Linked DNA regions of Styela clava. The main gene of each other region encodes a partner of the protein of the gene in region 3 in a complex. Links are inferred from orthologs where the notes say so. Each region holds a gene or a part of one and is shown on either strand. Other genes may lie near its edges.

The links.
Region 1: exosome complex component RRP41-like (region 3) and exosome complex component RRP4-like share a complex: the UniProt entries of both Caenorhabditis elegans proteins name them as parts of the RNA exosome complex. The link is inferred for Styela clava from reciprocal best matches to the Caenorhabditis elegans genes exos-4.1 and exos-2.
Region 2: exosome complex component RRP41-like (region 3) and exosome complex component CSL4-like share a complex: the UniProt entries of both Caenorhabditis elegans proteins name them as parts of the RNA exosome complex. The link is inferred for Styela clava from reciprocal best matches to the Caenorhabditis elegans genes exos-4.1 and exos-1.

Annotation. Positions count from the first base shown.
Region 1 is NC_135254.1:13,467,797-13,474,955, forward strand, and holds the start of exosome complex component RRP4-like, read right to left. Parts: upstream 3,024-7,159; 5' UTR 2,849-3,023; coding exon 2,713-2,848; intron 2,568-2,712; coding exon 2,407-2,567; intron 1,864-2,406; coding exon 1,714-1,863; intron 1,334-1,713; coding exon 1,120-1,333; intron 551-1,119; coding exon 393-550; intron 78-392; coding exon 1-77. UniProt on the Caenorhabditis elegans protein: Non-catalytic component of the RNA exosome complex which has 3'->5' exoribonuclease activity and participates in a multitude of cellular RNA processing and degradation events. Involved in regulation of antisense ribosomal siRNA production.
Region 2 is NC_135261.1:9,032,222-9,038,635, forward strand, and holds exosome complex component CSL4-like, read left to right. Parts: upstream 1-4,320; 5' UTR 4,321-4,342; coding exon 4,343-4,936; 3' UTR 4,937-5,862; downstream 5,863-6,414. Other genes in the region: uncharacterized protein LOC120329759, read right to left, coding at 1,590-1,781, 2,243-2,401, 2,881-3,078; methylmalonic aciduria type A protein, mitochondrial-like, read left to right, coding at 5,906-6,414. UniProt on the Caenorhabditis elegans protein: Non-catalytic component of the RNA exosome complex which has 3'->5' exoribonuclease activity and participates in a multitude of cellular RNA processing and degradation events. Involved in regulation of antisense ribosomal siRNA production.
Region 3 is NC_135257.1:18,366,709-18,374,326, forward strand, and holds the start of exosome complex component RRP41-like, read right to left. Parts: upstream 3,040-7,618; 5' UTR 2,946-3,039; coding exon 2,805-2,945; intron 1,525-2,804; coding exon 1,471-1,524; intron 382-1,470; coding exon 221-381; intron 1-220. Other genes in the region: thiopurine S-methyltransferase-like, read right to left, coding at 5,248-5,931; thiopurine S-methyltransferase-like, read right to left, coding at 7,009-7,618. UniProt on the Caenorhabditis elegans protein: Non-catalytic component of the RNA exosome complex which has 3'->5' exoribonuclease activity and participates in a multitude of cellular RNA processing and degradation events.

The DNA.
Region 1 (7,159 bases), on a different chromosome or scaffold from region 3:
GACTCTTCTCTTCGTAACCTCAACACAGCTTGATTTACAACATCACTCATGATGTCAGGATTGAGTAGTTCCTTGATCTGAATAGCAAAAATTTTACCAGAATACTAATCAAAGATACTTAAATATACTCATGCATGCCACCTAAATATATTATTTATATATGCAATTGAAATGCTCGACACAAACTGGGTTGGCATCCCATACATTTACACGACAATTATGACAAGTGAGTGTAAAAATTAGTTCGTTGCAGAACGGGTGGGAAATTGGACAGGAGGGAGACCACCCTTTTGGTGACCTCTGCACTGAATCATGGTCACTTACCTACCTATTCCATTTATGCATCATCCCCCGCAGGACAGTGTAATTGATATGTTTTACAAACAACAAACCTGATGGCTGAGTGAAACATCATAGGTGTACATTATACTTGTATCATAAAGTTGTATATTATGTTGTGCAAGACATTTTATACAATTCCGAAGTCTACAAATAACTTCTCTATCTTCTAATGCCACTGGTTCAACATCTGCAACAAATCCGCCATGACCTATAAAACAACAATTGTTGCAAAGCATTTGAAGAAATAATTGGCAGCAAATATGATTCTTGCTCTTGGCCAGGATTAGTGCAGAGCAAAATCAGTTGATTCTATGATAAATTCAAAGAATGTCAATGCTTTGCTATCTCTTGTTTGGATTCAGAAACAAATTTGCGCAAATCTGAGGCTAGTATCAGAGTCTAAACGACTGGTTCTGAAGACCCTCAACATAATATAACACAATCAACATGTGTTATATGCAACGCAGCCTAATATAAAACGCCTGCAAACGAACGAAACCGCCAATTGACTCTAAATAATTGTAGCCACTTAGCGGGCTGAGGGCCATTTTTTGCAAAACCAGGATCAAGATTATCTACTCAAAGCCGGGAGCAAATTTAGAATGAATTAGAGTAAGATGTAACATGATAAGAGCATGATATTACGAGCTTCACAAAGTCTCCTCAGCATTACAAAATAAATGAATTCACAAAACTCTGATATTTTTGTAAGATTGAATAAGTTTAGTGACTGAACATTCGATTCAAACCAGTCATTCAACGATTCTTCAAACCAACCTTTATCCATTTCCTCATTATCAGTAGCAGGTGTTGCATAGATCCAAATAAAGCCGTTATTTGCAAGAACAACAGTAGCACCACATGGTAAATTGTGAATATGATTTTTCCTTCTTTTTACCAATGATGGAGAAACTACAACTAAGCAACCTTGCCCCAATTTCCCATATCTCAGACTCCTTGTATGTAGTGAAAGAGATCCATCATTATGCACCTAAGCCACATTAAAAAAAATTGGCAGTATATTCACTGTAAATGACAAAAACATATGACACTGAGTTGAATAGATTTGTTAATGATGATAAACTGTATTGCATTACATTGATACATAACAAGTTACATGAATAAACTCATATATGTTTTGCTCATAAGAACTGCTATTCAGTCTGCCAATGTCCAGTTGAGAAAAACCTGACTTATGTGTGAGTCATCAATTATTAACATATATCTGTGTGGTTTCAGTTTCCCTTGATATTTCAATAGTAGCCAATGACTCTATTCAAAGGTGACATCTTTAACTTTTGAGTGAGTGTGCACGATCCTGGTTTAAGTAATATTTCAAATATGAACACAAATAATAAAGATTGTACAGACCTGTTGAACTTCAGCGCTGATCAGATCTCCTTCTTTTAAATATTCTCTCATTGTTAGTTGATCAGCAGCTGATCTTCTTCTTAGTTCACCACCAGGCAAATTAACAAATGAAAGATGTAAAACCGAATCTACTCTGGAATTGGTGTTCACCTGAAAATAGAGAGGGCAGTGGTAAAATACACATATTTAAATGAACAACTTTTTAACTTTTTTTTCCCTTGCGTCTATTTGTTTGCACAGGTATTCAGGCAAGAAATTTGTTTACTGTTTTCTTTTACTTTATTTCTATTCAAACTAGTTTGTGTTGTCAACATAATCCAATTTCTTTGGAAAAATGACAGTGCTGTTAATTTATGCTATTTCAATCTAAGAAATAGAATTGGGGCCAACTAACTGAAATAGACAAAGGTGGGCTTCAAAACAGAAATAATGAGGTCTTCACAAACCCCATTACTAAGTATGTATCAGTGATTGCTTGTCCAGTGACTTGCTCATTAAGAGTGTGAAACGGTTTCTATATAAAAAATATGTTCAATGAGTGTGCTGATTTTGACGTCTTTTAAATTATCTGAATTACATTCAAAATAACAATATTCAGTTGGACTTTATTTGGATAATGCCAATAAGCATTTATAAAAAGTGTGAGAGGTCAATAATTGATATCAAAATGTTTATGTAAAAACAATTTTATACCTTCCATCTTTTTTGTTGAACTTCCTTTATCCTTCCAACAACAATATCACCAACTTCACCATTATAACGCAGTTTGAGAGGTTTCACGCTGATAAGTTTATTTATCCGTTCCACAACACCAGCAACACAAGCATGAAGTTTTTCATCTCTCATGTAACTTCCTGAACATAAAGGAGAAAACTTGCAATGGAAAAATACATAAAACTCTGAAACTCCAAACAAGAATTGGTCAGTTCTTTGTCATATAAATTTGCAAATGAAAAGATGCCTTTATACTGTTATAGGTAAACAACATTGTTGTCTCACCATGCCCTCTCATATAATCTGTATCATCTGTGACAATATCTCCAGGAGTTACGAAATGTGCCAATCCGTGTGAGCCCTTCTTCGTGGGCAACTTCGAGTATGCAGCAGGCCGACGAATTAGAATTCCTGATTCCATTACCGATTGGCTATTCCACGATTCAGATTTCAGTCATACCACCGACCAGCGGTACCGTACACTATCTCCAAACTATGATACTGAAAACCACGCAATTTCGTTATCTCTGTGAAGTTAGCAGGAAAACACGAAATTGGAGCTGTTGACTGTTGTGTGGCGAACTTCATCTCGTTTATTTTGTCTTCCATGAGGTGGCACATGTGCGCCACAACAAGATTATGGACGTTTCCCCGACCCTTGACCCCTGGAAGATTCTCCCCATACTTTATCATTGCAAAATTTACAACTTCGATTTTGAGAACGTTTTGGAGTGTTAGCGCTTACAAACTGGCTCACATGTTCAGAACTTTCATTTTTATTTATTACGATAAGCCACATGCCGCTTATAGGCATCGATAGCTAATTTTGGTCTGATATAGTCTATTGCAGGGGTTCTCAAACTTTTGGTGTTGCGGAGCCCGTGAAGATGTTGACTATTATTCAAGGAGCCCTAAAATAAATTTTAAAATTGTTACTTAACGATTAATACTACTGAGTAAGTTAAAAGTACTTTACTCGATTTAAATGCTAAACCTTTTTTAATAGGGTTAATACAAGTCATAAATAAATCTAAATTTCAAAGATAAATCATATATATTAAGGCTGTAAATTTAACACTTGACCAACATATTAATAAATTAGGGGTCGAATCTTTTTCCTTTTGATATTTTTGGAAGACTTAAAAGGTTGCTGCGCGATTGCATTTTGGTACAATCGCCGACTGTTTTCGTCAGCGAGAAACGTTATACCTTATTAAACATCTTTACGTCGGTGTTTATTCTCCCTGAATCAAAAATTTCCTCCGGCATATACCAAATTAAATGATCTAAAAACAACATTCAAAATTAAATGGCAACACCATTCAAAATTGGCGCTTCTCCGCGAGCGGTACAAATTTTCTTATCGAGCCACAGTTTGCACATCCCTGTTTTAAGGCATTCTGAAACTATCGTTGGGGCCACATGCAACTTTTACTCTGGTTATTATGGAATATAGTATAATGTATATATATAAAGGCGTATTCAGTCAATTTTTAATGTACTAAAACAAATCGTAGTTTTTTGATATTTTATCCGAGACCTAGGGATTTTTCATAAAAAATAATAGAAGTGGCAGAGAGGAGTACCAATATAAATTTGGGTAGACTTTGGGATTTTAGAGTAAATCTTGGAATTTTTTTTAAATACGATATCTTATAACTGGCTGTCAATACATTAGAAACTCTACCTACAAAATTAATTCGTTTCGGGAGCCCCATCTTAAGTAGAAAATTCTGTAAGTAAGGACGCAGTTTTCATATAAATGCCTTAATTCGTTCTAAGCCTACACAAAACTCGGACGTAACATTTATATAAATTTTAATACCGGGTAAACCCGTAACAATAACATGTTAGAATTAAATTACCACATAATAAAAAGAAAATGTACACATAGAAAGAATAGAGGAATAACCAATAAAAACTTCGAACGGTAGACCGTGTAGAGCGAGAGGATGGCGATCTGAGTTTTTTATTATTATTTCATTTTGCTCACTAAACCATTTGTTGATTCAGAAAAAACGCAAATATCATTACGCGATCATTTTCATAATCAAATGGGTACTCCCGAAGTATGTGAACCAAGATGGCGGACACCGGAATGTAGTATGTGTACCAGGTTAGGGTTGGGCCATAATTTCAGGTACAAATACTATACGGGAGTCACTTGGCTAGTCCCGGAACTCATAATAGAACAAAAATAAGGAAAAATTGTGGCTGAACTCGAACCTGGTACACATACTACGTTCCGGTGTCCACCATCTTGGTGCACATACTTCTGGGGCGCCATCAAAGTGAATCCGATTCCTGAATTTCCATCCGTCAATGATGGAGAGTTAAGACCGGAAATCGTGTTTTATTATTCGATTCAGTGCTGTTATAAATATTTCATGCCAGTAGTTACGATTTCATTTTTGATTGTCATCAACGACGTCGGGAAAACGATAAAATTCGTAATAGATACTGAATAATATTTAAGAGCTATTCCACACGCTCTAAATTGCAAGGAATGAAAAATTTCCCGTGATGTACGGTCACTATCGAAATTGAGGATGAAAACGATAAATAGCGACACAATTTGCTTTTAGAATTATCGCCGAGGCCTCACAAACTATCTCAACTAAATTTTAAATGTACGATAATAATTTCGTATATTATTCGTAAATCTCCGACGTGTTATAACCAATTCAAGTCAGCGCTAATTGAAATCTTCCCATGCGGCTGTAATATATTGCCTTGCGTACACGGCTGCCTCCGATTACGATAAAAATGAAGTATTTGTAAAATGTTTTTAATCGGAACATGGACCGCGGCGCTAGGATATGTGCGCTTATAAACTCGAAAAAACGATATTCGAAGGTCGCGATATTCAAATATTACCTTCGAATTGGACATCCCTGATTCAAGCACTGCATTAAATTAATCTCAAATTACACTACACGTGGTATTCAAGTTTTCGACCTTCCGTATGTTGACAATTTGAAAAAATCCGACTATTTTTACGAGTGGCGTAATTCGGCGAATGTTTTTCAGGACCCATTTCATGGAAATTTCCGAATTTTGATCTTCCCACCGCTTTGAAAATCTTGGCTGTGCCACTGAAAGTGTGTATTGTAACGCGAGTCTAATCGACCCTTTATTATGACATTTTGTGCCGGGACAATATGCCAAATTTAGGTTAATCATGCTTAAGATAAGTATTTCGCAAGCTTTGGACACGGAAATTGTTGGGATATCCATCCTCTGAAAAGCAATCGATTTTTACGATCACCTATTATCATCAAGGTCCTTATTAGCTAAATCATTGAGCTGAAGTTACAAACTTTCTATTACTATCAAATATCCCACATATCGTGTTTCAAAACGTTAAATTTTTACAAAGTATGATTGTCACTTCATCCATTAATTCCCATGCATTCGCCGACAAGAAATGCGACGGAACAGAAGATCAGTCAAGCGTTTACTATCTGCAGCATAACAATGGTCATTTTGATCCATTGTTAAGGTATCAATGAACATATGGCGAACCACGGCCTCTCGTCCGGTTACCAGTCCAGGTCGGGTATGGGATTTATTAGCCAGTTATTTTGTTTTCGGAAGCATGGACTTGATGGCGGAGGAAGCCGTAACCGACCAGCGGTTACGTGAACCATCCTATACGGCGGCGAGGAGTCCAGCAATCCTCCGCACATGATCACCCCCGCATGGGATTCGAACCTGCGAACCCGTGAAGGGTAACCAGAGATGCGGTGGCGAGCGTATTCCTAACGCTTAGCACGATGCGCCACACCGCATCTAAAGGTACTCAGAACCCACAGTGACAATTAATTTGTTTGATTTACAACTATTTTTCAGAACTGGAGACTGGCAAATTACACGCAAAACGAGGCAATGTTTACACCACGCTTGAATGTCTGAGCGAAAGAGCTGTCTGAGCGGCAGCATAAATTCCAATTGTTACGTCATTGTTAATTTATTGCTGATTTTTTTACGGAAATAAATAAGAAAATCGATGTCCTGGGATACATCTATTGTTTTCAAACGGTGAGAGAGAGAAATTCTATTATCACAAACAATGTCAACACTATGATACATTTGGAGTAACAGACTAAAATATAATTAACTATAATTGGTTGATCATTATCTGATCATTATTAGTGAGGGCCAGTATGCAAAACCGGTCAGGTCACCCAGGCTCCTTGCCCATGCTTTTTTTAGGAAATCAATCTGATATAGCAACGGTGGGCAAGCCGCATGCGGCTCGCAAGATATTTAATGCGGCTCGCAAGATATTTGCTGTGTTGGCGGTATGCCGTGATAGATAGGATTCACATATTTATCCTGGACAGCCAATATGTCGGGTTAATCATATGGCAATGTTTAATATGAAATTAGTTAGCCAGTTAATCGTTTTCAGATGCATGGACGTGATGGTGGAGGAAGCCGTTACCGACCAGCGGTTACGTTAACCACCCTACATTGGATAGGAGTTCAGCAATCCTCTCACACATAATTAACACCACATGGCAGAAATTTATGATACAATTTGGCAAGGAATCCGATGCAACAACTGAACCTAATTTTGGTATATCATAGAATGTTGCTCGTGCTAACACCCATATATATATATTCCGACTGTGATTTTCACAGTCAAAAATAAATACTTTTACTTTAATAATTAGAATAAAACGCAGAATCATTCATTGGTTACGGTGAAAATAAACATTGCACCGAA
Region 2 (6,414 bases), on a different chromosome or scaffold from region 3:
GGCCCAGTTGTTTGTTGATATTGGAGGAAGCCATAACCGCTATGGCGATTCGGAGTCTCGCAATTTTCTCGCACATATTTAACCCTTTCCATGCGATTTTTATCTTTTATTAAATAATCGTATTTGCTACACCGACTTTATGCATTTGTACCCCCACAACTAATCGATCGACTAACGAAAAAGTAATGATCCTCTGCTGCCCACTGACGGCTCGTTGGAAAGCTTATTTAAAGAGCTTGCAATTGGCGATTGAAAATTTTATTTTTTCAAAAGGGGTGGTCTGAGTCACAAACCGGATAGAAAAAAGGCATTTTTTTTCTTGGGTGTTGAAACTTCAAACCGTGAAAAAAAATAGAAATATTCGCTAAATCCTTTACTGTTACCGCTTCTTGGTTGGCAAACAATAGCATAATATTGCTGTAGCAATTTCGTTATCTAACTCAAAATACTTTGGTAGATGGAAGGAATAATATGTCTTCTATTACCACCCAAAAAACACCGAAATTTGCATAAATTTCAAAAATACTCCCTCGTTCCGCCGCAAATAAAATTCCCATGGTAAACGAAAGCGAGATTTACCGTCGCTTATGTTAATCTCGAAGAAGACTTCTTATCAATAAACTAAAACCCGGAAAAACTAGACCAACAGTTTGCGACCGATTGCTAAATAAAACAGTGGAGTACATCAACGTACCCGCCGCAAACTAGCGAGTTTTGTCGTGGGTACGTATACGTGCCCACCGCACAGAAAGGGTTAATAACCCCACAAGATTAGAACATGCGAACCAATGCAGGGTAATCAGAGGTGCGGTGGCAAGCGTATTCCTAGCGCTTGAAACGATTTACCAAACCGCCGAGCCGGCAATGTGGACATAAGATATAAATTACCACGTCAAATCTTCAAACACTGAATGGTATAACTTTGTATTTAATATAGAATAATTTTTCAGTGTAAAATTACACTTTTGCATTAGCATTGGTGGGCATTTTCACATCTTATAATCGATATTGGAGGATGTTTCAAACTCCCAAGGGTGGAAGTAGAAATTTCAGACCTAAAAGAGTCCTAATCTGTGACAACTTGAAAATGCAAGTCAATGTATCCCTTTGTTTATATATATATCTGCAGTCAAGCGATGATTGCTGTAGCATTTTAAATCAGACACCAATCATTGCTGTACTGTAGATGTAGTGTGTTAATTCTTTCAACTTTATTCATTTAACTATTGAGCCGCTTACTGTTAGCATCAGCAATTCGATACGTATTTGTTTTCTTGTTTAATAACATTTACTTGTGTTATATTTTACTTTAGATTCATTCTAATTTCTGAGTGGGCTTTAAATTTAAGTTGAATAAAGCCTTATATCAAGGTACTATATTTCTCATTCATTACTTAATCAAAGTCAAAATTTTGGCCAAAACTGAAAATAAGGAATTATGTTGACAAAGCATGATCAACACACCACAAAAGAGTCAAAAGTTCTTCGCAAACTAAAGTTGGAGTCATAGTTTTTAAATTGCTCAGAGTTTGGAGTCAGGTTCAAATTACTATTACTAAACATCCCAGTACATCAATGATAACAGTTACCTTGTTATTCTTGAGTCCATTGCATAAACCAACACATCCTGCATCACCAAATTCATTGTAATCTAAGTTGATTTCAACAAGATTTGAAACCCTGAATGCTTTAGAAAATCTGGCAACAGTGAAATGTTGAATGTCACAATCCATGAGCTCAATTCTTCTTACTGGATAAAAACCTTTTTCCAGAAGTAGTGCCTGTTATGAAATATTTAATATTATCATTAATTTAGAAAGCAAATATTTTTTCACTTTCATACACATTTTTGGTACTTCCGTAATGTGTATACCAGGCCATAATTTTATTTCGATTTTCCTTATTTTAGTTTTATTACGAGTTCAGGAAGTGTCTGCCTAATACCATTTCAGGGACTGTCTGCGTTAGCCAAGTGAATATACTCCCTGCCCATAGGTTACAGTCTCTCTACACAACTTGATGTAAAGTAGGTGGACAAAATTAATTACCTCCATATTGGTATAGATACTTCTGAAATGCCCATTTTTTTCCCTGAAGACCATTTTTAAATATGATATTATAATTGTTATCTATTGTGATATATTATGAAAAACAGCTCAGTGTTTGGCGCATCGTGCTAAGTGTTAGGATCATGTTTGATCCTAATAAATAAAATATGAGTCGACGAATAAAATAAAATTACCAAGTCAGCAACTTCATCATGTTCTGTTTCTAAATCCCAGCAACATATTTCATGAACATGAGTGAATCTTTCGTTACGAATTGATCGGACGACAGGTCGCAACCTTACCGGAGGAGTATTAGGATCTTTCATTCCTACATCAACTTCTTCAATAATGAACTAAAATGGAAGCGTAGAATTTTATTTAAAATCAAATATTTTTTAAACAAATTATTACTCTGATGAATAGAAGATCTTCTACCTTACAATGACTGGTAACAATACAATGGTTTATCATTTGAATGAGGCCTCGTATCGGCTTTTTCCCACATTAATTTATAAAATCATATACATATTATACTTTTACCGAAGTGTTTATTCATGGGATAGGGTAGCAGACGAACTAGAAATTGAATTAAAATATTCAGCCCTTGACTGACATTCTAAACCTAGCATTGACCATTTTGTTGAGAAAAACCTTTTTGGCCCATTTCAATTTTTATATTACACTAAACCGGATAGAAAGAAATATTAGACAAAAATCTGAATACTGGCCATAAATATAGCTGCCGAATTTTGGCAAACGAGTTCATAAAACACGAAGAAATAAAAAAAATAAAAAATCGCTAATGTTATTGCAAAAATTTTCGACCAATCACCTTTCTCGCATACATTCTATCTTCAATTCCTTTCTTCAATGCTTTTTGTAACCAAACACAGGGTATGGATTTATCAAGCGTGCATTGCATTTCATACGTTCCTAAAAATTTCTTCTGATAAATATCTGAATCTTCATCCCATTTCACTCTTTTTGATTTCTTTTTCCCTCCCTTTCCTTTTTTGCCCTTTTTCGCCATTCGATTGTTTATTTGCTTTTATGAAATTTAACTTGGAAATCTATGACATAATGTGAATCTATGAAAAAGAAATGCAGGATTGACTGTAGCTTATTATATTCATTACCATGTTCCGAGCTTTTATACTTATCCTAGGATGAGAAAAACCAACCATTTCTATAAAAAAATTTAAACCTTATTCCTATTCTTTGATCTGATTTTATCATTTATTTTACTCCCTATTTTGCAGATTAATATACCTTTTTTACCGATTAATAGAATGAACAAACTACTGTAACCGATTTTGACTCATGATTCAGATTAGGTAGTTATATGAAGTGACTGAAAATTTCTATTCATGAATATTAATTCGTACGGGCAGTTATAATAGTATAATTTTTTTTGTAAGTTTATATATAACTTATATTTATAAATTTATTTATAAGTTTATTAAGTTGAAAGTTAAAACTTTGACATTGGATTGTAATCAGAAATATCCATCCCCCTTCGTGTTTAGTTTAAAAAGGGTAACTGTTCTCCCCAATGATAAAATCTAATGCATACCTAAATTTACTGAAATATTTACGAAGCTGAACCTCGTAAGGGTTGTGAGTTGTAACCATGACAAAGGGTACTTCAGCGTAGGGGAATCCCGTTACATTTTCGCATTTTTCTTGTGCCGTGTTGTCATCTTAAAACCAAAAGTATTTTGCATTCCTCATCTAAAATAACATGATTGTTTTTGAAATATGTAAATACAAATATTCAAAATACAAATTATCTGTAAACAACGACTTTTCCCAATATTCATATTTCTTATCGCTATATGTCGCTCGTGTAGCACGTTGGATCTTGTGAAAAAGCCATGCCTCCCTCGCTGGCAATGTGGATGCATTGGAATTTTGGGGGATTTCCCATGTTCCTGTCAAATTTGATGTCAGGCTGACTTTTATTATTTATATATACCGACGAAATGATAAAATTTAAGACTTAAAATGAGCATTTAATGATTGATTCATAGCATGTAGATCAGCATATTTTTTTTTATGTAGGCAGGTTTAGATGAAATTCAATATGACACATTCCTGCATTCTGAAACCCCCATGCTCTTCTATGACTGTATGACCATTTCTGCATGTTTGTTCATTTACTGATTTAAATTAAAAATTGAATTGAAAACGCTTATTCCCGTATTTGGCCATTATACAGTTATATCAGTATATTAAGTTACCTATATATTTTCATGGCTCATTATTTTTTTAGTTCCAGACAGTTCTAAATAAAAATGGCAGAACTATTGAAAAGCAGTCAAATATGTGTGCCGGGGGAACGTCTCGCAAGTGCTGAACACCATCGGGCAGGATTTGGAACTTATGTAAAACGAGGATATATATTTGCATCATTAGCTGGCATGGTTCGGAGCGAACAAAATGACAAGGATATAATTACTGTATCTGTGCGATCCAAGCACCATCAACAACTTCTCCCACAAATCGATTCCATAGTCACTTGTAAAGTCACAGGAATCAGCGGTCGCTTTGCAAAATGTTTAATTACAGCCGTTAATAACGCGAGGTTGTCCGAGCCATTGCGAGGCATCATAAGACGTGAGGACGTACGTGCAAAGGACATTGAAAAAGTTGAAATTCCGAAATGTTTTCGTCCCGGTGATGTAGTTTTAGCAAAAGTTTTGTCACTAGGTGATGCATCATCTTATTTGTTAACTACAGCGGAAAATGGACTCGGTGTTGTTCTTGCACGTAGTGAAGCCGGAGAACTGATGTTGCCTATCAGTTGGCAAGAAATGCAATGTCCTGTTTCGTATGTAAAAGAATCGCGTAAAGTTGCAAGACCACAGGAACATTATTTAAAACAATAAGATGTAGATTCTGGTAAAACATCATTGTTTCCCTGTCTTCTCAGTAAAAATCGGTGATGTTTCATCCTTCTCATTTGAAAATATTGCTCTCTGCGAAGTCAACTATTCCAATCATGTCGGTTACTAGCATTTCAATATAAATTCTCTCCTTATTAGAACATTCTTTGTTATTGCGTATTCTATCGTATCGTTTGATAGAAAGTGCTGCAGCTATTTACTTGGTTGGTTTTGAATATTGGAACTATAATTTTGCAGTTAAATTCATCAAACTTCGTTTAGATGTGTAATTTTCAAACTTGCCTATTCTACTAAGTATAAAATCTTAGTTTAAGTTACAAATAACATAATAAAAATGTGTGTATTTATTTTCCATGGATATTCACATGTTGCTCCGAAATTTATTATTTTTTGTGCCATTCCCAGTAACACACTATTTTTGGTTGTCCTTATTATCACTATTTTTAATTTTTATTAAAATTTTGGCATCTGATTATCAAAACAAATTAATGAGGAAATGTTAATTAAAATGGGTGGTCTTAATTAAAACAATATTTATAAATGAGTAAAGAAAAACAGTTCCACAAAAAAACTTCTGATTAAGCTTGAAATGTTATCGAAGAAATTCTAAGTTTCGCTCATGGAAAATAAAAATGAGTATTAAACAATATTTATTATCAACATTCGAAATTGGAAAGATAACAAAACGATTTGTTTGTAAATTTTTTTTTATAAAAGAATTGTTTCTCTCTGCATTCATGTCAATATTGACAAACTTATTTGTAAATTTGAATATAGAAAATTCAACTTCTGAAACTGAAAAATCTGTCCTTGTTAAAAATAGTTTCAAAGTCATGACGATTTATTTCAAATTGAATTTCCATTTTGTATGAATTGTCTTACATTTACAATCATATCTTTTTTTCCAGGTCAAATGATTGTTAGATAGGGAATACTTTCTTTATTTCCAATATGTTAATTTTCAAAAAGCTGTCGTTGCGGCCGTTTCCATATCTTTCAGTTCGATTCAAATCTTTAAAACCATACTCTAAGCACGCATTTTTATCAGGTGATTATGACATCACAAAGACATTTCCTAAAGACTCTTATGAATTTAATTACATACGAAACCTTGCTAATGGAATTAAGAATAAAGATCGGGCCACACTCGCTCGTGCTATAACTTTAGTTGAATCAACAAATAAACAGAAAAAATTGATGGGACAGATTTTGCTACAATTGGTAATATCGGAAACATCAAGATCTTCGCAAAAATCTTTTCGAATCGGACTTTCTGGACCCCCAGGTGCAGGGAAGTCTACATTCATTGAAACAATGGGAAGCTACCTTACTGAAAAACATGATTTAAAAGTCGCAATTCTAGCTGTAGACCCCTCTTCAAGTCGAACAGGGGGGTCACTTCTCGGAGATAAAACAAGAATGACAAACTTGTCTCGTAATCCGAAAGCATACATTCGTCC
Region 3 (7,618 bases):
AGTAGTGGTTATCTTGATTGATTTTCTGTTCTTTTACTGTTAGGATTTTCAATTTTTCATTCGACCATGACATATCAGGAAATTTTCAAATGTAAGATTTCTCAATTTATTGCTGAAATCGGGTATAAAGTACTAGTAAATTGAATATTCGAATGTTGAATGAATTTGAATATTCAATCCATTTTTGACATAACTGATAACCGATTTTAACTTTTCTCACCTTGGATATAATTCAGTTAAAATAGCAGCTTCAAAAGTCTGTTTAATGTGCATAGACAATTCTTGACCCTTTCTGTCCCCGCGTGACCGATGTTTCCTCTCAGCAGTACTAAATGTTGCTTGACTGTATTCACAGTTCAGAAATGCTTTGTCACTGAGAATCTGTGGATAGATAAATAATAATAAAGAAAGTATTCAACTATCTTTTATCTTCATACAAGCGAAATCAGGGTTTTTCAAAGATATTTCTCAGGTAAATTTAATGACAGTTTACGGTCCTTAAACCAATAGCCAAGACCAATCACAGCAAATTTCCTCAAATCGCATTTATACTCAACTCTTGAGTTTTGTAAACAACAATGTCTTCGAGTCCCAAATAAAAGTCTCTATGGCGATTAGTCATGTTATTTTGTTAGATGATTGGAGTAAATGGAAAAAGAGGCTCAAGTATCTATCTGTACAGCGTGACTGCTGGTAATTCCCATTTCTATCTTCCACAATTTTTAGCTGTGGGAAAATAAAAATATTAATATTTTTGAAAGTTGTGCCAAACATTTAAAAATTAGAATGTCGGATTAATTGTTAAATCTTTGTAGTTGGGCTTCTCAGCCCTACGCGCAAGTCACAAATTTTCTTTGTGAATCTGAGCCTCTAGTTCGAGTAAACCCTGGCCTAGTCACCACTGATTGAAAATAGTAGGTCCGCATTCCCCTTTCTAACTGTATATCAGTTGTTTGCCCAAAGCCTTTTTGCACCAGCACCAGAGCCTTGAGAGAAAGAGAAAAACTCCAGAACACATACTGTCAGGTTGTCCTCGACTTACGAGGTTGTTCCGTTCTTGTGATGCGATGTAACCCGAATTTCAGTGCAAGTCGGAACAACCAAAATGGCGAACAGTATCACTGAAACTGTGTACCATGCGACTGAAGCTTAGTGATTATTTGTTCATAATCGTAATACTTGCAATTGTCCACGTCATTCACGGTGTAAAAAAAAAAAATAATGAGTCCAAAGCACTGATTTCTTGATCACAATGATCCAGTTTAAGGGCTTAGATATTACAGACAGTACAGTATTATCTTTTATATTTTTATGGAGTGCGTAACATCGAAACAGTGTAAGTCGCGACCGCTGTAACCTGAGGACTCCCTGTACTGGCTTTTACACCCCTAAATACTGTTCAAAGCTTCGTGAAGAGCTTACACCTCAACATGAAGATTTCATGACTCAACTCAATCCTTATTATCTTACCTGTCCTCTCATATTAGATGATGGTTCATGTGGTCCATAGACTGCAGCTAATATCTGAAAATTTAATTTTTGAAATTATAAACCGGCTCATTGTTATACAATGATGGAGATGAGAGGCCATGGTTCACCAAATGATTAAGCATCGATTATTAATGAAATTCTTATACCAATTAATGTTATAAAAATAAAAAAAATAATAACATTTTTCAAAGTTATCACATATTCTACTCAAACTTATTGTGAAGTGCAAATGGACAAATGATGTATGTGACATTTGTGACATGATATAATTATTTATAAAATATATGTAAATTGCAATAAAGAGTTCATTTAGGATTGTAACCGGCTCGGCGGTTGGCACATTAAGCTTGTCATTACATTACTTATAACCAGTGGTGGGATTCAATATTTTTGTCAGCCGGTTCCATTACTAAAGTCATATTTTTCACCTGGTTCTGTTAGGATAGGATAGGATTTACATATTTATCCCGGGGGAGAGGAAAGCCGATAAGACAGCTTATCCATATGGCGAACCACGGCCTCTCGTCCGGTTACCATTCCAAGTCGGGTATGGGATTAGTTTTACTGTATTGTTTGTTTTCGGAAGCATGGACTTGGTGGTGGAGGAAGCCGTAACCGACCAGCGGTTACATGAACCACCCAACGACGGCGAGGAGTCCAGCAATCCTCTCGCACATAACCATCCCTGCATGGGATTCGAACCTGCGAACCCACGCAGAGTAGTTAGAGGTGCGGTGGCGAGCGTATTCCTAACGTTTAGCTCGTTGAGCCACACCGCCGCGCAAAAGTCATTGGGAGTAACCAGTAATCCTAACCGGTGCGCTGATCTCATGAAATTCCGTGATACGGTTTTATAGAACTGGTGCGAACTGGCTGAATCCCACTACTGCTTATAACCCATTAGGAGTTCCAATGTTTTAATCTCGTGGAGGATAAGTTAGTGCGAGGGGATCGCTGGACTGGTATATACATAAGTCAGTTACTGACATATGATTAGGCCATCTTATTAACTTTACTCTCATCTTAAAATAAATTTGAAAATTTTTTCCTTTATCATGCCTCAGCCAAATGCACCACACCTCAAAACTTTTATGAAGGACACTTTTGAGCTTCAATTTATACCAAGAAATCGATTCGGAATACAGATGGACCTGAATTGATCAAGGTCTGGCCAAAATAAACTAAATAAGACAGTGAATCCCAAAGCAGGAAATTTCCGTTCATTTGAAAAGTTTTTTTCGTTAAGGAGCTGTTTGAGTAGAACTTAGATAAAATAAGTCTTTATAGAAAAAAATATAACCAATTTCATGTACCTTAGTGTTCCCTTGCTCTAAATAGGACGAACCGTCGGCTTGTGAAAACACTCCAAGACGACAACGAATCCGGCGTAGTTCTGTTGGTAGTCTGCCATCAATTCTATACCCTTCATCAGTTACCAATTCAAGACCAGCCATAGTTATTAACTGGATTAAATATGATCAATAAAATATGAAAATTTTTTGTTTTCGAACTTTAAAAACATAATGGCTTTAAAATATTTTTCCTGTACTATTTTTTATACAACGTATTGTTTTTTACAACGTATATTGTTGCATACTGCTAGGTAGGGAAGTATAGTCTGGAAGGACACAAATATTTCTTGTTCTGCATTTCCTCCCCGATTTTTTATATTACACCCTGGGTATTTAAGTATTTGAGTATTTTAACGTAATATGTTTACTGTTACATAATGTAAATTCACTGAGAAATGGATGGCACTGTGTCTGCGAGACAGAATCAGATTTTCATCTAGGTTTGGTCAAAAATGCTTAAATTTATACGAATAGATAAATAAAACAAAACAATATTAAAGCTGCAAATGACGAGGGTTTGCAAAAAACATCAAAAATACTCAGCAACAAGTGTATGGTTATTTATGATTTTTTTTCATGCCTCATTACTTATGCGTAACACTAGCAAAGAATCCATTAAAGATTGGACAATTAGTGTGACATAGTGAGGAAGAAATAAAAAATTCCAAAATCGATAGAGTGATATTTTTAAAAAAAGCTTGGGGACCACAGGGTCATGTCTGCCACTTCATTTAGTCATATAGGATCGAACAAATGATTTGAATATTTCTGATAAAATTGAACAATATAAAGAAAGCCTATTAAACGAAGTGGAAAAATTAATTAATCACTGATTAAAATAAAACAAAATTTGGCCAAGAAATATTAAGAACTGACATCATAACAAATCTGGGTTGCAACAGGACTTTATAAACACACTGTTTATCAATTAATACTTTTGCATTTACTGAGTGAAGGTATCATATTAGAAATGAACAGGAAAATGAAACAATTTTGGCATGTAAGCACACAAGAATCTGAGGACAAAATTAATTTCAAAATATTAGGTTTTTAAAACCAAGAAAAACTGCATTTTTGGCATGAATTGCAATATCATATACTTCACGTTAATAAATATTCTGTCAGACAAATACAGTATAAATGCAGGGACGATTACACTGTAAAATGCAGTTTTGTGAACTTAGTTAAATAGCAACATCAAAAAAACTGAACAATTAAAATTAAGATATAATATAATATTTGCTCTGCAATGTAATGTAATTTCACTGTACGCATAGATGCCCAAAACATGTACAACAGTTCTTCATGTGCAATACATTTATTATTTTGCTTTCTTTTGTAGTCTTTACAGTATTGAACATTGCACCGTATTGAACTGATAGAAACGAGTTAAAATCAAAACTAGGTGTTAATATTGAAAAGCAGGTCACACAAGTGTTTAAAATATTGCAATGCAGCCATGGACCGTGAACGTTTAGGAAACCACTGGTCTTTTATCATATTCCATACACAAACTTTTAACTTCAGGCCAAATTTAGAGTATTTCCATTCGACAGGGATGCCAGTATATTGCGCTTAATATTCCTAGGACAACAGCAAGTGGGATTGCACAAAACAAAAATAAGAAAAGCTCTTATAATTATAGGGTTGCAAGAAAAAGGGGTAAATGCTTAAATTTCGCAGGCCGGATGTTGCCCTGCCCTAGACCCTACCACCGTTTCTACCAATTAGATAAATACTGAACAACGATATCCAGTTTAAAATCAAACTAATTCCAATTTCCTACATTATTTACATATTAAAAATTCTGAAGTGGCAAGATGAGTGACATTACAAGAGATAATAAAATGCTGATTGAAATCTCATGGAGGGTGAGGTTAATTTGTTAGATCAGGGGTGTGTAACCTGCGGCCCGTGAGCCACACAAGGAAAAATTGCGCAGCCCGCAAAAGTTTTTAATTTAGTTTAATCTGATACGTGCAAGAATCCCAAGTCAATACCAGAGTCCAATTTTTTTTTTTATCTATGCTTATGACGTTACAATGCCCCTAAAACAGCTAGCTTGTGCGAACAACGCATGTCGTAAGATAAATACCAAAATTTTTAAGCCTGCATGGCTGCATCACTAGAGAGTCTATTTCAATAAAGGTGTGGCCTGCAGTTTAACCCAGTTAGTTTCATTTAGCCATCCAGTATTCAAGGTTGCACACCCCTGCATTAGATAATAATGTTCAAAGGAAGGATTTAAAAAAAAAATTATCAATCTAGCTGTGGTGCTAATTATTTAATGAAAAACCATATGCATAAAATTATGTAATGAATCAGCAATTGCACAAAATTATGTAATGAATCAGCAATTGCACAAAATTACTGTTATTAATATTATAAAATCAACTTATTTATTTCACTTGAAAGAAATAAAGCAAAGTCGAATTGTCAATTCCAAATCTGGTTGGAAATTTGCCGGATACTTTATCATATCAATAACTTCTATGTTACATTTTTCCCCAAATGTGCCCTGAAGGTTCTCAATCGTGATGCAGTGAGGTGGACCTTTGCACTTTGACATATCATAAGTGATAGATTCCATCAAGATTTTTGCTTTTGGCTTCATCAGACTGAAGATTAAGTCTGTGTATTTTTGCTGAGTGGGAATATTTATCGCGACGTAACTTCCGCGGTCCCAGAACCCATCAAACTGACCACATAATTCTGGTTTTAGATCAAAAATATCACCTCTGTAAATAGTAATATTCTTCTCCTTACATTTGTAAACCACAAGACAGCTATCAGAACAGGTTGATTCTGAGTATGTCAAGTTATTTTCTTCAAAAAATGCTTCGATTCCAATTTTTGAAAACTCAAGACCGACCACCTCTAATCCTTTTTCTTCCAAGAAAATCAAATCCATCGTTTTTCCACAAAGTGGAACGAAAACACGTCCAGTCGTTCCATTTTCAAAAAGTTTCTCAAAATGTTTCACTAGCAACTGACTGTAATTTTTCCTATGAAATTTCGGGTCTTGATCTGCTGACCATTTCCATTCATCTACGGCCACTTCTCTCCTAGGTAAAGGATTAGTTTCCATGTTTGTAGAATATAGTGATATTTTACTTTCTAAGGTCTGTAATTATATATAAAATTAAGTCAATATATATGAATATTAATAAGACTTAGCACCTAGTTATGAATGAAGAGCTTTCTTGACCTACATTATTGAAGTTATTCATATCATGAAATACTATATTGATCACTGGGGTTAACATAGGTAAATAATCGTGAAAAACATCGTCAATTCCTTTGAGTGCGATCAGAGTTATGTGCGTATAAGCCTTAGTTTGGCAACTTTTTTTTCGAGTTTTAAACTCTGCTTATATGTGAGGATATACGGTAGTACTATTACTCTTTTTTACTAAATCATGATATGAATACAAGACAAGGAAAAATATATGTCAAATCATCCTGCATAGTGCAATTATTTAGAAAAAAGGTTTACATATTTAGTGCATGTAAATACAGTAGAATCAACCAAAAATTTCAAACACAGATATTACTTCATAGTCTATGAAATGGAAATAAAATTTGAAAACTTAAAACATATGAAACTGCTTTTGAAGAAAATTGGACTTTATATTCATATTCTATAGGAAGCATTTTGACTAGTAAACGATTCAGAGTGAGACAAGTATTTATTACAAATACTTATAAAAAGCAAGCAATTTAGAAATATACAGGTGTCCAAAAAGTTTCTCCCGATTTTATAGTATCAACAAATAAAAATTTCTTTGTCTTTGTATATTAATCGATCTTATTGTGCTTGTAGTTCTCATTTATTTTATTTATAAAATAAGATTTATTTTGAATTAAAATTGGTATTACTATAAAATACACCGACATTATTTGGACAAAAACGTGAATAAATTTGATTTTAATAAGAAATAGACGTACACCTTTTGATTGGCTGCACTACCCTTCCCACAATCAAAACAACAAACATTAATTTTACTTAATAAATCAGAATGATACTACAGAATGTTGACTAATTTATGTTCTTTAATAAATTAACATGTTAATCAGAAACCAGGATTAAAAGTAAAGTTGTAAGTTGTTCAACACTTCATGACTCTCTATATTATATCTGATTCACAATGGTCAATTTAAAACTTTATTTCATTGAAAGAAGACAATAGGGAAGAGTCATAATCATATCTCCTGCATTGAAAACGGGATGTGCGAGCATGGTCATTGTATCAACAACTTTAATTTCACATTTTGACCCAAAAGTGCTTTGTAAATTTTCTAAGGTTATGCAATGTGGAGGTCCACCGTATCTCGACGTGTCATAAGTGAAAGTCTCCATCAATATTTTCGCCTCTGGTTTCATCAGTTGTAAAATAATATCAGCATATTTCTGCTGAGTAGGGATATTGATTGCGACATAACTTCCACGATCCCAAATGCCATCAAATTGGCCACAGACATCTGGGTTCAAATTAAACATATCACCTCTGTAAATAGTGATATTTTTCTCGTTGCATTTGTACTGCACCAAAGGCTGATTTACAACATCCATTTTCTTGTAGGTCAAATTGTTGTCTTTGAAAAACCCTTCAACTCCGATTTCTGAGAACTCCAATCCAACAACTTCAAGCCCTTTATCAGCTAGAAATATCATGTCCAGAGTTTTTCCGCACAGCGGAACAAAAACGCGGCCTGTTTCACCATCGGCAAATAAGCAGTCGAAGTGTTTCACCAGCATAGGCGCGTATTGTGTC